Nothobranchius furzeri: one gene and its partners. The protein of the gene in region 2 interacts with the protein of the main gene of each other region in a biochemical or structural test. Links are inferred from orthologs where the notes say so. Each region holds a gene or a part of one and is shown on either strand. Other genes may lie near its edges. The genes, in order: endophilin-A1, dynamin-1 and itsn1.

What was found.
Region 1: the proteins of dynamin-1 (region 2) and endophilin-A1 form a complex in vitro, tested with the Homo sapiens proteins (2 studies listed by BioGRID and IntAct, with this or other methods). The link is inferred for Nothobranchius furzeri from reciprocal best matches to the Homo sapiens genes DNM1 and SH3GL2.
Region 3: the proteins of dynamin-1 (region 2) and itsn1 form a complex in vitro, tested with the Homo sapiens proteins (2 studies listed by BioGRID and IntAct, with this or other methods). The link is inferred for Nothobranchius furzeri from reciprocal best matches to the Homo sapiens genes DNM1 and ITSN1.

The regions. Positions count from the first base shown.
Region 1 is NC_091742.1:89,729,674-89,733,322, forward strand, and holds part of endophilin-A1, read right to left. Parts: intron 2,259-3,649; coding exon 2,190-2,258; intron 1,679-2,189; exon of another isoform or gene 1,547-1,678; intron 1,473-1,546; coding exon 1,400-1,472; intron 1,328-1,399; coding exon 1,184-1,327; intron 995-1,183; coding exon 861-994; intron 780-860; coding exon 621-779; intron 1-620. UniProt on the Homo sapiens protein: Implicated in synaptic vesicle endocytosis. May recruit other proteins to membranes with high curvature. Required for BDNF-dependent dendrite outgrowth.
Region 2 is NC_091750.1:35,494,679-35,498,874, forward strand, and holds the start of dynamin-1, read right to left. Parts: upstream 2,937-4,196; 5' UTR 2,784-2,936; coding exon 2,623-2,783; intron 1-2,622. Other genes in the region: FHF complex subunit HOOK-interacting protein 2B, read right to left, coding at 3,697-3,799, 3,898-3,998. UniProt on the Homo sapiens protein: Catalyzes the hydrolysis of GTP and utilizes this energy to mediate vesicle scission and participates in many forms of endocytosis, such as clathrin-mediated endocytosis or synaptic vesicle endocytosis as well as rapid endocytosis (RE).
Region 3 is NC_091752.1:40,932,737-40,936,385, forward strand, and holds part of itsn1 (intersectin-1), read right to left. Parts: coding exon 3,478-3,649; intron 3,396-3,477; coding exon 3,221-3,395; intron 3,135-3,220; coding exon 3,048-3,134; intron 2,970-3,047; coding exon 2,821-2,969; intron 2,737-2,820; coding exon 2,657-2,736; intron 2,580-2,656; coding exon 2,407-2,579; intron 2,328-2,406; coding exon 2,282-2,327; intron 2,136-2,281; coding exon 2,014-2,135; intron 1,870-2,013; coding exon 1,746-1,869; intron 347-1,745; coding exon 152-346; intron 1-151. UniProt on the Homo sapiens protein: Adapter protein that provides a link between the endocytic membrane traffic and the actin assembly machinery. Acts as a guanine nucleotide exchange factor (GEF) for CDC42, and thereby stimulates actin nucleation mediated by WASL and the ARP2/3 complex.

The DNA of each region.
Region 1 (3,649 bases), on a different chromosome or scaffold from region 2:
CCTGCAGCAGCAGTCATCTAGCTGATTAATTCCACCTGTGCTGCTCCCTATTTAAGCACCTGGCTCCTGCTGCTCAGTGCGAGATCGTCTGCTGTCCTGCCAGTCCTTCGAGAGTTTGAACCTGCCTCCCTGTTCTTTACTGACCTCTGCCTGCCTAACCAAGGAACCCGTCTATTGCCTCAGCTCCAGCCTGAATCTGAGCACTCACCTTCATCAGCATTCCTCACCGCTGCTGTTTTCAGAAGGTCAGTCACTCTTCAGATGAAGACATCTGAATTATCTCCCTCGCTGACTGTTTTCTGTGTCCCGGGCCACGCCACCCGGAACCGACTCCTGCTGGTCCCGCTCACTTGAACAAGTCCTTTAATAAAATCTTTAAATCTTTCTCTGTGTTTGGCTGTTGTTGGATCCGGCTGATCGTCACTAGGTCTGACCGTGACATTTAAATCTAAATATTTAATTTTAATACATGAAACCTTTTTAAATTTTTGTAAATATTATGTACTTGTTTGACTTTTTAGTATAAATTAGGATTTCATGTGTTATGTTGGATATGAGGGAATGTATTTTCCCGCCACAGCTGCGTGTCTAACCAGTTCTTCAAGGACTGGGTCACTTACATCGCTCTCCAGCAGGTTGAACATGCTCTGCTCGGCTATCTCTTTGCTCTCGTCGAACTTCTCTAGCGCCTGTTTGATCTCCTCGTCCTGGACTTTCCCTTGACGCTTCTTCTTGTAGTCGAAGTCCAAACGACGGCCCTCCATCTTCTTCAGATGATGCTGCGAGGCGAGAGGAAACCAGTAACCATCTGATCCGGCTGACAGATCGGACCATCCACCGGGTCTGAATAGTTTATGCACCTGTATCTCCTTCAAGTCCTTGTCATGGAGGTTCTGCAGAGGGTCGATGAAGTTCTGTTTGACCTCCATGTCCAGAGCATCCTTCACCTCCCCGAGCTCCTTCATGGCCTCACCGGCGTCTATCAGCGCCGTTCCTGGAATCACGAGGAGAGAATCTGAGTTACTGTTAGAGTTCTTCTGGTTCTGGGTGGAAGATCTCTGGTCCTGGAACAGATGTTCTCTATTGTTGACTTACGGTCTCTTGAGTCATAATACAACACTAGACTGGAGGCGGAGTCGAGGCCAACAGCCAGTAAAAACTACATCTCCATGTCGGGACTCACCGAAACAGGACTCTTCTCCCAGCTCTCGTCCAAACTTCAGCATGGCGTCCCCCAGGATGGTCTCGGCCTGCGGGTACCCGGGCCCCTTCTCCTGGCCACGGATCTTGGACATAGTGTTGATCATGCTCAGCTTGGCTCTGGACGCTGGGAGGAGGGATCAGAGCGGTGAGTGGAGGTCACAGGAAGCTGCTGAGGGCAGCTTGGCATGCTTCTTACCTGGGTTGGGCTGAAGGTACTCTGTGGTTTTGGTCATGATGTCCAGAACCGCTCTGCTGGTGACGTCCACCTTCTGCGGAGGACACGTTTGGTAGAAACATCCCCGTTTACCCCCCGCTGTTCACAGGTTAAACGTAAACATCTCACCAGCTGTCGGGAGTTTTAAATAAAACCGCTGGATTTATCTGGACCGTGTGCAGAGTTAGAGGAGCCATTTCATGTTGGATCCCGTCATCCACTGCTGCTTCACCGCTAAATGATGTTAAAAACAAACGGTAGCTGAAACCAAACACCAAAATTAATAGGATGTTTTACATCTCATCTGTAAAACCGCTCCTTTAATGTTAGATTTTTAAAAGCACCGTTTAACCTAAATAAAAACCTGTTCAAGTTTTACTTCAGTAATAACAAGAACATGAATATTTCTATGAATTATTATAATTAATGATCAAATGTGTAGTTACTGTTATCTCCGTTAGGAATTTCCTCCTGCAGCTTTAAAAAAACTCCCAAATCCACTCTTAAATTTTGCGACGTGAAACCATTTTAGTACAAACACTTGTTTTCTCTCTAAACCAGGAAGTGACGAGTCTTTTTACCTCCTCATGTGGTGAAAGATCAAACACATGCACACCCACCTGATCCTTCTGCTGCTCACAGTTTAGGCACCTTTCAGTTGATTTTGGTTGCCATGGGGACCCTAATGGGCCACTGACAGTAGCTTTAACACTTCTGCTCACTTCTTCCACTGCCCCTATGCTTCAGGTCACATTTAAACAAAGCTAATTACCTTTTCCATTTCTTTGAAGTCATCGTCGAGTTTGGTTCCTTCCGCTCCTCCAACCTTCTCGCTGACTTTCTGCAGAGAGAAACCCACGTACACACAGAAGGAACGAGGGTTAAAACTGTCCCGTTTGACTCTTTAGGTCTATAAAATACCCATCTGTTTGCATTCGGGGCGATGATGGAGAGAAACCACAGTGCTGCTGGGAGATGAAAGTGTGTCGAATCCTCTACAGAACTCGGGTGTGAGATCAAACCCACGGGTTCATACGGGTGTAGTTAATAGATCATAATAAGGTACAGAGGGTAACAAACAGGCTAAATAATAGACTCAAGCTCACTAAGACTTCATTAAAATTATTTAATTCAACAGGTTAAAATAAATAAAGGAATGATAATTAGATGACAAGTAAAAATCTAGAAATCATGGTGGCGCAGTGGTTAGCATTGTTGCCTCGCAGCACGGAGGTTGCAGGTTCGAAACTCAGCTGTGGCCTTTCTGCGTGGAGTTGCGTGTTCTTCCCATGCATGCGTGGGTTTCCCCCGGGTTTCCCCCACAGATCACAACACGCCCTATAGGTTATAAATTGTAAGTCGCTTTGGATAAAAGCGTCTGCTAAATGAATAAACAAAATAAACAAATAAAAAATCAATCCGAGTCAGAAAACAAGAATAAAAGTATTAAAACAACAAGTTAAAGCTTTGAACACGTAAAATGTTCAAGAGCAGGTGGTTTCTGATCTTGTTTCCACACACAAACGGTCTAACTTGTGTTTGTTGCACAAAAGCCACGAGTGACTTTTCTTTAATGTTTTCACTGGGTGAATTCTCGTTTTCCCCGTGTTCGTGTCGAATAAAAGCCGCTCTTGCTTTTAGGAATGAATGACTTTTTTTTTAAACGGTTCTTTTTTCACCCAGATCCACATTCAGAAAAGAGTCAAAATTAAAAACACAAACTAACGATCTGATAAAAAAGCACCCATTTTTATGTAAACAGCAGAAATAAAACTTCTAACTTGAAACCAGTGTTAAAATCTTTTTTCATTTAGTTTCAGTCTTTTGACTAAAATTCTTATTAATTAAACGATGTTTCTCTGCGGTCATTACAACATTACTAATTTACACAGAAACACCGTTAAAATATGTCAAACACATCAACATCCTTTAGAAACGACAAATGAAAAGATGATGCTGGTTTTCCTGAGTGAAGCTCCTGCATTGAACTGGTTCCTCGTAATTTCTACTCAAGAGTTCATGAAACCTGTAATAAACACAATAAACATCATGTGTTCAGCTTGGCTGACTGCAGGTTTATTAGTTTTAAGTTCCGATTCTCCTCGGAAATAATTATTTCTGCTTAGCTGGCCACAAAGGGAGCAGCAAGTGCTGATCAGGGATGCTGCTCCATCTCTAATAGCCTCAGGGTGCAGTGATGAAGGAGGAGATGGGCCACCAGCGAGCCATCCT
Region 2 (4,196 bases):
CTCTTTTTGGCTGATTGAAGACCAGACGCACCGCTGCGTTCTGGACTCATTCATTCTTGGCCATTGTTTTGATTTAGTGGGAAAATTTCACAACTTTAAACCCTGACCCAGGCAAAAGCACGCTTTAGGAAAAGTGGCTGCACAGCCGGTGAAATGACAAAATAGAGAATTAAAGCCACATTTCAGATATTTTTAGACATGTAGATCCTCGTACGTACGTGTACACACACACACACACACACACACACACACACACACACACACACACACGTCAGCATCCTTGACTCTGAACTGAGAATAAGATGAGAACCTGAACGAATATGTGGCATTTAAGAGATAAATCAGTGGATGGATGAATTGAATGTACATCTTCAAATTATGCAGCAATTGCACTTATTAGTGCATTGATCGTGATAAGGTGTGTATTAATGAGTGTGATTACTGAGTAGACATATAAAACACAAAGGATGCTCTCAAAGATCCCACTAATGGCAGGATCTGGTCGGTGACAGTTTTAGAGACCGTGAGGATTTCCTGGTCCGTGATGACGACAGCCTGATCAGCTGAGTCCCTAAAGCTGTCCTATTTGGGTCCGGTGTTAGATCAGTCGACCCACCAGAACCGTGCAATCCTAACTCACCTGCAGCTGCAGAACTCTCAGATTTTAATATAACTGGTTTGTTCCAGCAGGAAACAGCTGACAGGGGGGCAGATGTTTGTTTGGTATGATGAGTAAATGCCAGGGAACGCCTTGGGATTCCCCCGGAGGAGCTGGGCCCAAGTGGCTGGGGAGAGGGAAGTCTGGGCCTCAGGCTGCTGCCCCTGCGACCCGACTCGGGATAAGCGGATGAAAATGGATGGATGATGAGTAAAATATGACAGTTTACTGCCTAAAGCCTTTAGTCCTGGTAAAAAGTATCGGCTAAACGAGGAAGCAGACCAGTTTGAGCGTCACAAACTTATTCTATTTTAACATGATGTGAATCTTATACAAACGCTGCTGCTCAAGAAAAATATTACAAAATTCAGACGGTGTGGATCTCTAGCTCTCTCTCTCACACACACACACACACACACACACACACACACACACACACACACACACACACACACACACACACACACACACACACACACACACACACACACACGGTGGTATTGTCGTGCCATGATTTGACTGAAGCTGTCGAGGATCATGTGATCAGCAGCGACCAATGAGAGCAGGGATCCAGACAGAGCGCCCCCCCCCCAGGCCGAAGATAAAAATAATCAGCCAATCAGGAGTCAGCTTTCAGAAGGACTCAAACTACAGACCTCAGACCTGCTGTCCTCAGCTCTGATCTTCTCACTTCAAAGTGTCCAATGAAGTGATTTGCTGCAGAAACCAGGATTAATTCACTGCTTTGGTCAGAAAGATTTTAAAATTTGAATTCAAAAGATGTTTAGAAACACCAGAACGTTTCGGCAGAGCTGGTTTCTGTCCACCTACAGGCTGAAGGTTCCATGGACCCTGTGAAGAGTGTTTGGGTGGAGATGTTGGACCTGTGCTGTTCTGATTCTGACTTAAAGAGGTCTTCTATCCAAACATCTCAAGACCCATCATTCTGTCCAGCACTGGGACGTTCTGCGGTGATAAAACAGACGCACGTAGAACCCTAAACGCATCCAGACCTCACGATGCTCTCGTTTATTTGACTGGAACATCACGAACCAGCACTAAGAAACCTTCTGAACTTGATTCTCCAACAAAATATATGAACGTGGAACAAGCGGACGAGTCCCAGGAGCCGACGCTGCTGACCGCTGATCTCAGGTCAGAGACAGAAAAACTAAAACCTGATGAGTGTTTAGGTTTAAATTCAGCCATAATTCAACTAGTTCAGATAATCAGTGCGTGTGTGCGAGCGCGCGCGCGCAACACTTAATATTCTTTCAGCAAGTCTGGTGTTCCTAATGAGCGTCAGACATTTGGTAGTCTTTCTGATCCAGTCTAGTGGAAAACAGTTCAAACACCTCACAGACCTGCAGAACCCCAAAGACCTGCTGGGACCTGGAGATCTGCAGAACCACAAAGACCTGCTGGGACCTGGAGATCTGCAAGGGTCCAGATACCTGCAGGGACCTATAGAGACCTGCAGAACCACAAAGACCTGCTGGGACCTGGAGATCTGCAAGGGTCCAGATACCTGCAGGGACCTATAGAGACCTGCAGAACCACAGAGACCTTGGGGGGGGGGGGGCGCTTATTTAATGTCATCCCACCGCAGGTCTGCGGCTGTCAGCTGGACTGGGACCTGTAAGGACCCAAAGACCACCTCAGTCCGCCTCCTCACCTGCTGCTAATCCCTGAGTTTTGCCTAATCCAGTGACCTGACACGCGCACCTTTTCGTATCAGGTGAGGATCTGTCTCACCAGTCTCACCTGCGATCTTAATGCCGGTGTTACTGACCACGTGATCATCAGGCCAATCAGGAGCGTCAATAACCAATCAGCGGTTTTGAGAATAAACGGAATCGCAGCTCAAACACGAATCGTAATCACGTGATGTAACACACAGCAACCCGGTCCGGTTCTGCCAACACACACATGCAGACAGACCGCTGGGCCCGGTTCGGACTCACTTCCCCACGAAGTTCTCCAGCACCGAGCTCTTCCCGGCGCTCTGTCCGCCCACCACCGCGATCTGCGGCAGGTCCAGGTCTGCGTTCTGACCGATGGAGGAGAAGGCGTCCTGCAGCTGGTTCACCAGCGGGATCAGCTCCTCCATGCCCCGGTTCCCCATGACGGCGGCGGTTCGGCGTGCCGCTCGGTCCGGCCGGTCAAGCTGCTGATGGATCGGGAGGCTGAGGATGCTCCTGCAGCTGTGACCTTCACTTCCTCCTCCTTTTTGCTCTGCCGCAAGGATGCTGCAGGCGCGCGCACACACACACACACGGAGTTCCGTCAGACCTTCACAATAAAAGTCCCAGAGCCTTATTTTGAAAATCCTAACGTTATAGGGAGTGTGTGATTCAGTTGTTCAGCAGGTGTCAAAAGCCTGTCAGTCACCTAAAACCAGGTGTGTTGGGAGGCGTTCCAGACTGCTGATCTAAAACGATTCAATTCCTGATAAAGAATCAGAACAGGTGACTCATTACAGAGTTCACATGAACCACTAGTGATGTAGGCATGTGGAGGTTCTGGTCGGCCCAGACTGTGTCTGACTCTGAGCTTAAGAGTAAAGAAAGTAGAGAAACACAACGATGGTTTGAGGATTCCGTCTTTAACATAAAACACATTTAAGGAAATAAAACAGTAAATCTGGTGGTGCTGCACCTGGATCAGGTGCAGCTCTCAGGTCCTGGTCTGGATCTTTGATTCCGGAGACCTGTTCAGTTTTATTGTCCTCGTCGGGTTCCTTTGTGTCACGTGACTGGCTGACAGGTAATAAATCCTTACTACAGGTAGGAGGCATTTAGCGAGCTGCACAGAAAGTGGGCGTGGCTTAAATAGTGACAAAAGGTGATCACGTGGTTCATCGCCTCCCAAAGACAAGATGCCACTTCTGTCGGCTCCTATCCAAACTCAGGTGAGACACTGGTCTCTTGGTTCAACCAGGCGTTCCTCAGGTGCACGTGCTGCTGGTCCTCAGGCGAGATGCACCTGGTGATATCCCCACAGAGGTACACGTCCAGGTGATTCCTGCTCCAGGCGAGTCAGTCTCGATTCAGAGGCTTCTTGACAAAGGCGATTGCAGCAAGTTCCTTACAGAACTCCTCAAGGACGATGATCCCCTTGAGAAGTGTCAGGTGTTCCGATCTGAAGACACGCCCACAGAAAACAACTCAGGTAGAAAATCGTGGCAAACAGCTGATTATCTGTGAAAGATCTGTTTAGTGTCGGAGTGAGTCGGGTACCCAGTATGCTGGCTCAGTCCCAGCAGGTGTCTCCTGGTATCCAACAACTGCTCGGACAGGTCAGACACTTGCTGGATCCTCTGCATCACTTCTGCCATCACCTGAGAAACAGAAAGGTGAGACAAGACTCATCAGTCTGTCCTAAAGCTGGAATCCTCCACCGCAGGATAACCTGAGGGGAACCCACGGGTCTGAAAGTGTTCAGGTTAGTTGGACATCCAGCAACATCCGGGTCCAGATCAGGTTTCCATGAGAAGGTGTGCTCAGAACCCGTGGGGCTCCATCTGGAACACCTGTCT
Region 3 (3,649 bases), on a different chromosome or scaffold from region 2:
CCACACCTGGCTCTGGGGTGTGTGTGTGTGTGTGTGTGTGTGTGTGTGTGTGTATTTCAGTGTGTACATTGTATGTTAATTTTAGGACGCTCTGTGTGTGTGTCAGTGTGAGACGCACTCTGCAGGGAAGGCTGTGTGTGCTTGTACTCACACTGTGTGCTCGGATCAGTGTCTGTGGTCAGCTTGACGTAGTTGCTAGGAAACAGGCCCTCTCTCCCATTCAGCTCTCCTTTCCACCAATCACAGTCATCCTTGTTGAGCACTGTGATCACCTGACCCTTCTGGAAGGCCAGCTCGTCGTCGTTCTGGGCCACGTAGTCGTACATGCCGATCACCTGACACAGACCTTCAGGACAGGAAACAGGGATGATTAAAGCTGGATTGTTTACATTTATTCATGCAGCAGAAGCTTTGATCCAAATGACCTAAATTCATAGTTCTCCTGTGAGAATACACCGGAGTACCGAAGAAAACCCACATGCAAGGGGACAACATGCTAGCTGCAAACCGAAAGGATTCTTTCTTGGTCCTTAATGTAAAGCTGTAACTGTGACTGGCTCTTGCTGCTGCCACTGGGGGCAGGCTCAGAAATCAGAGCTCTTGGTTGTGGCTTTGTAGAAAGCTGCTTTGACAAAGTTTTATGAATAATGAACAGTACAGCTAATGAATCTTTAAGCTGTGCTTCTTGTCTATCACAAACTCCCTTTACCTTCTTTGGGAGACAGAAAATTAAATCTGGTATATATATATATACACACACACACACACACACACACACACACACACACACACACCAGATTTATATATATAGACATGCACGTTTCCAGAATGTCTAACTGACTATTGATGCTCTTAATGGTTAATAGTCAGTTAACCGTAAACGGCATGTAGGTGAGGTCTGGCTGAACCGTGAGTGAGAGGGAGTGCCTGTTGTTGATCTGACTGTGAATGCTCATGACATTTCATTTGCTGTCATGCTCAACTGCTACTAAATTACAGGTGAAGGGCACGAAAAGCAATTAACTGGACAAAGCTGTTATGTTGGGACAGCAGTAGCTCAGGAGGTAGAGCGGGTTGTCCAGTAATCGGGAGGTTGCAGGTTCAATCCCTGCTCTGGCCAGGCTCCATCATGTCCTTGGGCGAGACACTTAACCACCTTGCCTGCTGGTGGTGGTCAAAGGGGTCGGTGGCACCAGTGTTCAGCAGGCCTCGCCTCTGTCAGCGCGCTCCAGGACAGCCGTGGCTAAGCGTAGCTCATAATCATCAGTGTGTGACTGATTGTGTTGTAAAGTGCCTTGGGGGGTCGTACAACCCTAAGAAGGTGCTATACAAATACAGGCCATTTATATACACACAGTTATAACTGTTATGACCTCTGTGGCAGTTTCAGAGACGTGCCAGCCAGGACAGTCCCACAGCCGACAGATACCTGGAATAGAGCTCATCCAGAGATGACGTTTGACCACTTTAGCAACATCTGCCTCACAGACGGATCCATCCCAGGTCTCCCAGGTTTGGGTTGTTATGGTTAAGGAGCTCCAAAATGTATAACTCTCTCTTCCTTACCACCTTACAGCAGAAGTCTGTATCTTGCTTCCTCCTACCAACACTCATGAACTACACGTCAAGACTCTGCTTGAGGAAAAGACTCCACCCCGCTCCAGGGGACCTATTCCATCTTTTTCCTGAACCATAGCCCCAAATCTAAAACGGCACACAAACATGTGTTCTGGAGTAGTGTGTACCTGTGCTGGCAGGAGCCAGTTTGGGAGGAGTTGGTTCTGTTGGTGTGGTTTTGCTGGTGCTTGGACTCAGAAGCTTCACATAATTGGCTGGAAACCAACCAATCTGGCGCTTTTTCCCTCGAGCCTGGATCAGTGAAGTGACCACATATCAGACACTAATCCACAAACCTCATAAAAACAACAAAAACCTGTTCCATTCAAACCCAGTTTCTTATAGGGAGGTAAATAACCAAGTCAGACTTGACGCATGTGAACATGACTTGAGTACCTGGAGCTCGCCCTCCCACCAGCCCCCGGGGTTCTTTTTCCTGATGAGGATGAGCTGTCCTGGAGCTAGCGTCAGCTGCTCTGCTCCTGTTGCCGTGTAGGCTGCAATCACCTGAGCGATCTCTGAAAAAGAGAAGCGGGTTTGTTTTCCTGCTTTGGAGCTTTAACTACAAAAGTTATTTCCAACAGAATGCAAGGTAGATTCAGAGAAAATGAATTTACATCATTAGAGAAAAGTAAAAGGAACTCTTCAGGCTGTAAGCACTGACCTGGTTTCTTCCCCAGACTGCCGGTCTTCCCTGCGGGTCCCAGTGACTTCAGATAAGGATGTAGAGAGATTACAAACATTTCTTTCAAATGATCTGGAAACTAACTAATCAAAGTGAGCTCTCACTTCTATTGATGAATCGCGTGGCTTAACATAGTTGGACGGAAAGACTCCAGTCTTTCCTCCGACCGTGCCTGTCCACCAGTCTCCTTCCTTCCTGGTCACCATGACGATGTCTCCTTGCTGGAAGCTCAGGTCTCCCTGTTCTGTGCTCTCATAGGTGTACATGGCCACATATTCTGTAGGAAAAGAAAAGTAAAGTGTAAATAATAGATGCGTTATATTTGTGATGTACTGAAATGTTTCCATGAGGTACCTTCTCCGGTGTCGGAGGATTTTGTCGGAGAAGATGAGGGGCGTTTTCCATTGGGTGGGCTTTCTGACATTCCAGATTCACTAAGAGATGTGAGACATACGTAAATTCAAACTTTTGTGACTTTCATGGGATAAATATGGCGAGAGCGGAGGTTTCGACCCTACCTTGTGTTTTTATTTCGAGCTACAGTGCTGGGGGGAACGGTCACGTTGGCCGAGATGAGTTTGACGTAACTTTTGGGGAACCAGCCTCGTTGTCCATTCTGAAGTTCTCCCAACCACCACATGTCCTGCTGCTCCAACACTGTTATTATCTGCATCAACATTAACATCCACGCCATCAGGCAAATGTACAGTTTCCTGTTATCGTGTGGCAGTGATGAGGGTTCTACCTCGTTTTTGTTGAAGTTAAGGTGGTTGTCCTTCTTTGCTCTCCAGGGGTACAAAGCCTGAGCCTGGAGCCCTTCCACCTTCTCTCCCTGACAGACAGATATCGCAGCTCATGGTCATCTGTGACTCGTGTGATCAATGACTTTATCAATATCTGAGACAATGTTTCCACTACCTGTCCTAGTACAGGAGAGGGGGAGGAGCCTGTTGTCATAGTTGCAGGTGTGAAGGCGGAGCGTTGTCGTAGCTGTGCAGATGGAACACTGAGAGATGGATTCTGATTGGCTGAAGAAGTTGGCCAAGCGTCCCACCCTTCACTGTCTGATTGGCTTGTTGTGTTTGAGGGCCATCTGGAAACATTTACACAGAAAAATCTTCATTCTCATCCAAAAAGTTTTTAAGTCAGATCATGTTGTCGTGTGGGGGAATTACGTGGTGCTGAAGTCTGCCCAGTTACTGTTGCCAGATGATGTGGATGAGGAGGTGTGTCCAGGAGCCGGAGGGGGCGTGGTCATGGGCTGCGGGGCTGAAGTGGGTGTGGTTGAGGAAGTGGAGCGGAGGCTGATTGGGGCTTCGCTGTCGGGTATACGCTCTGCATAATTAG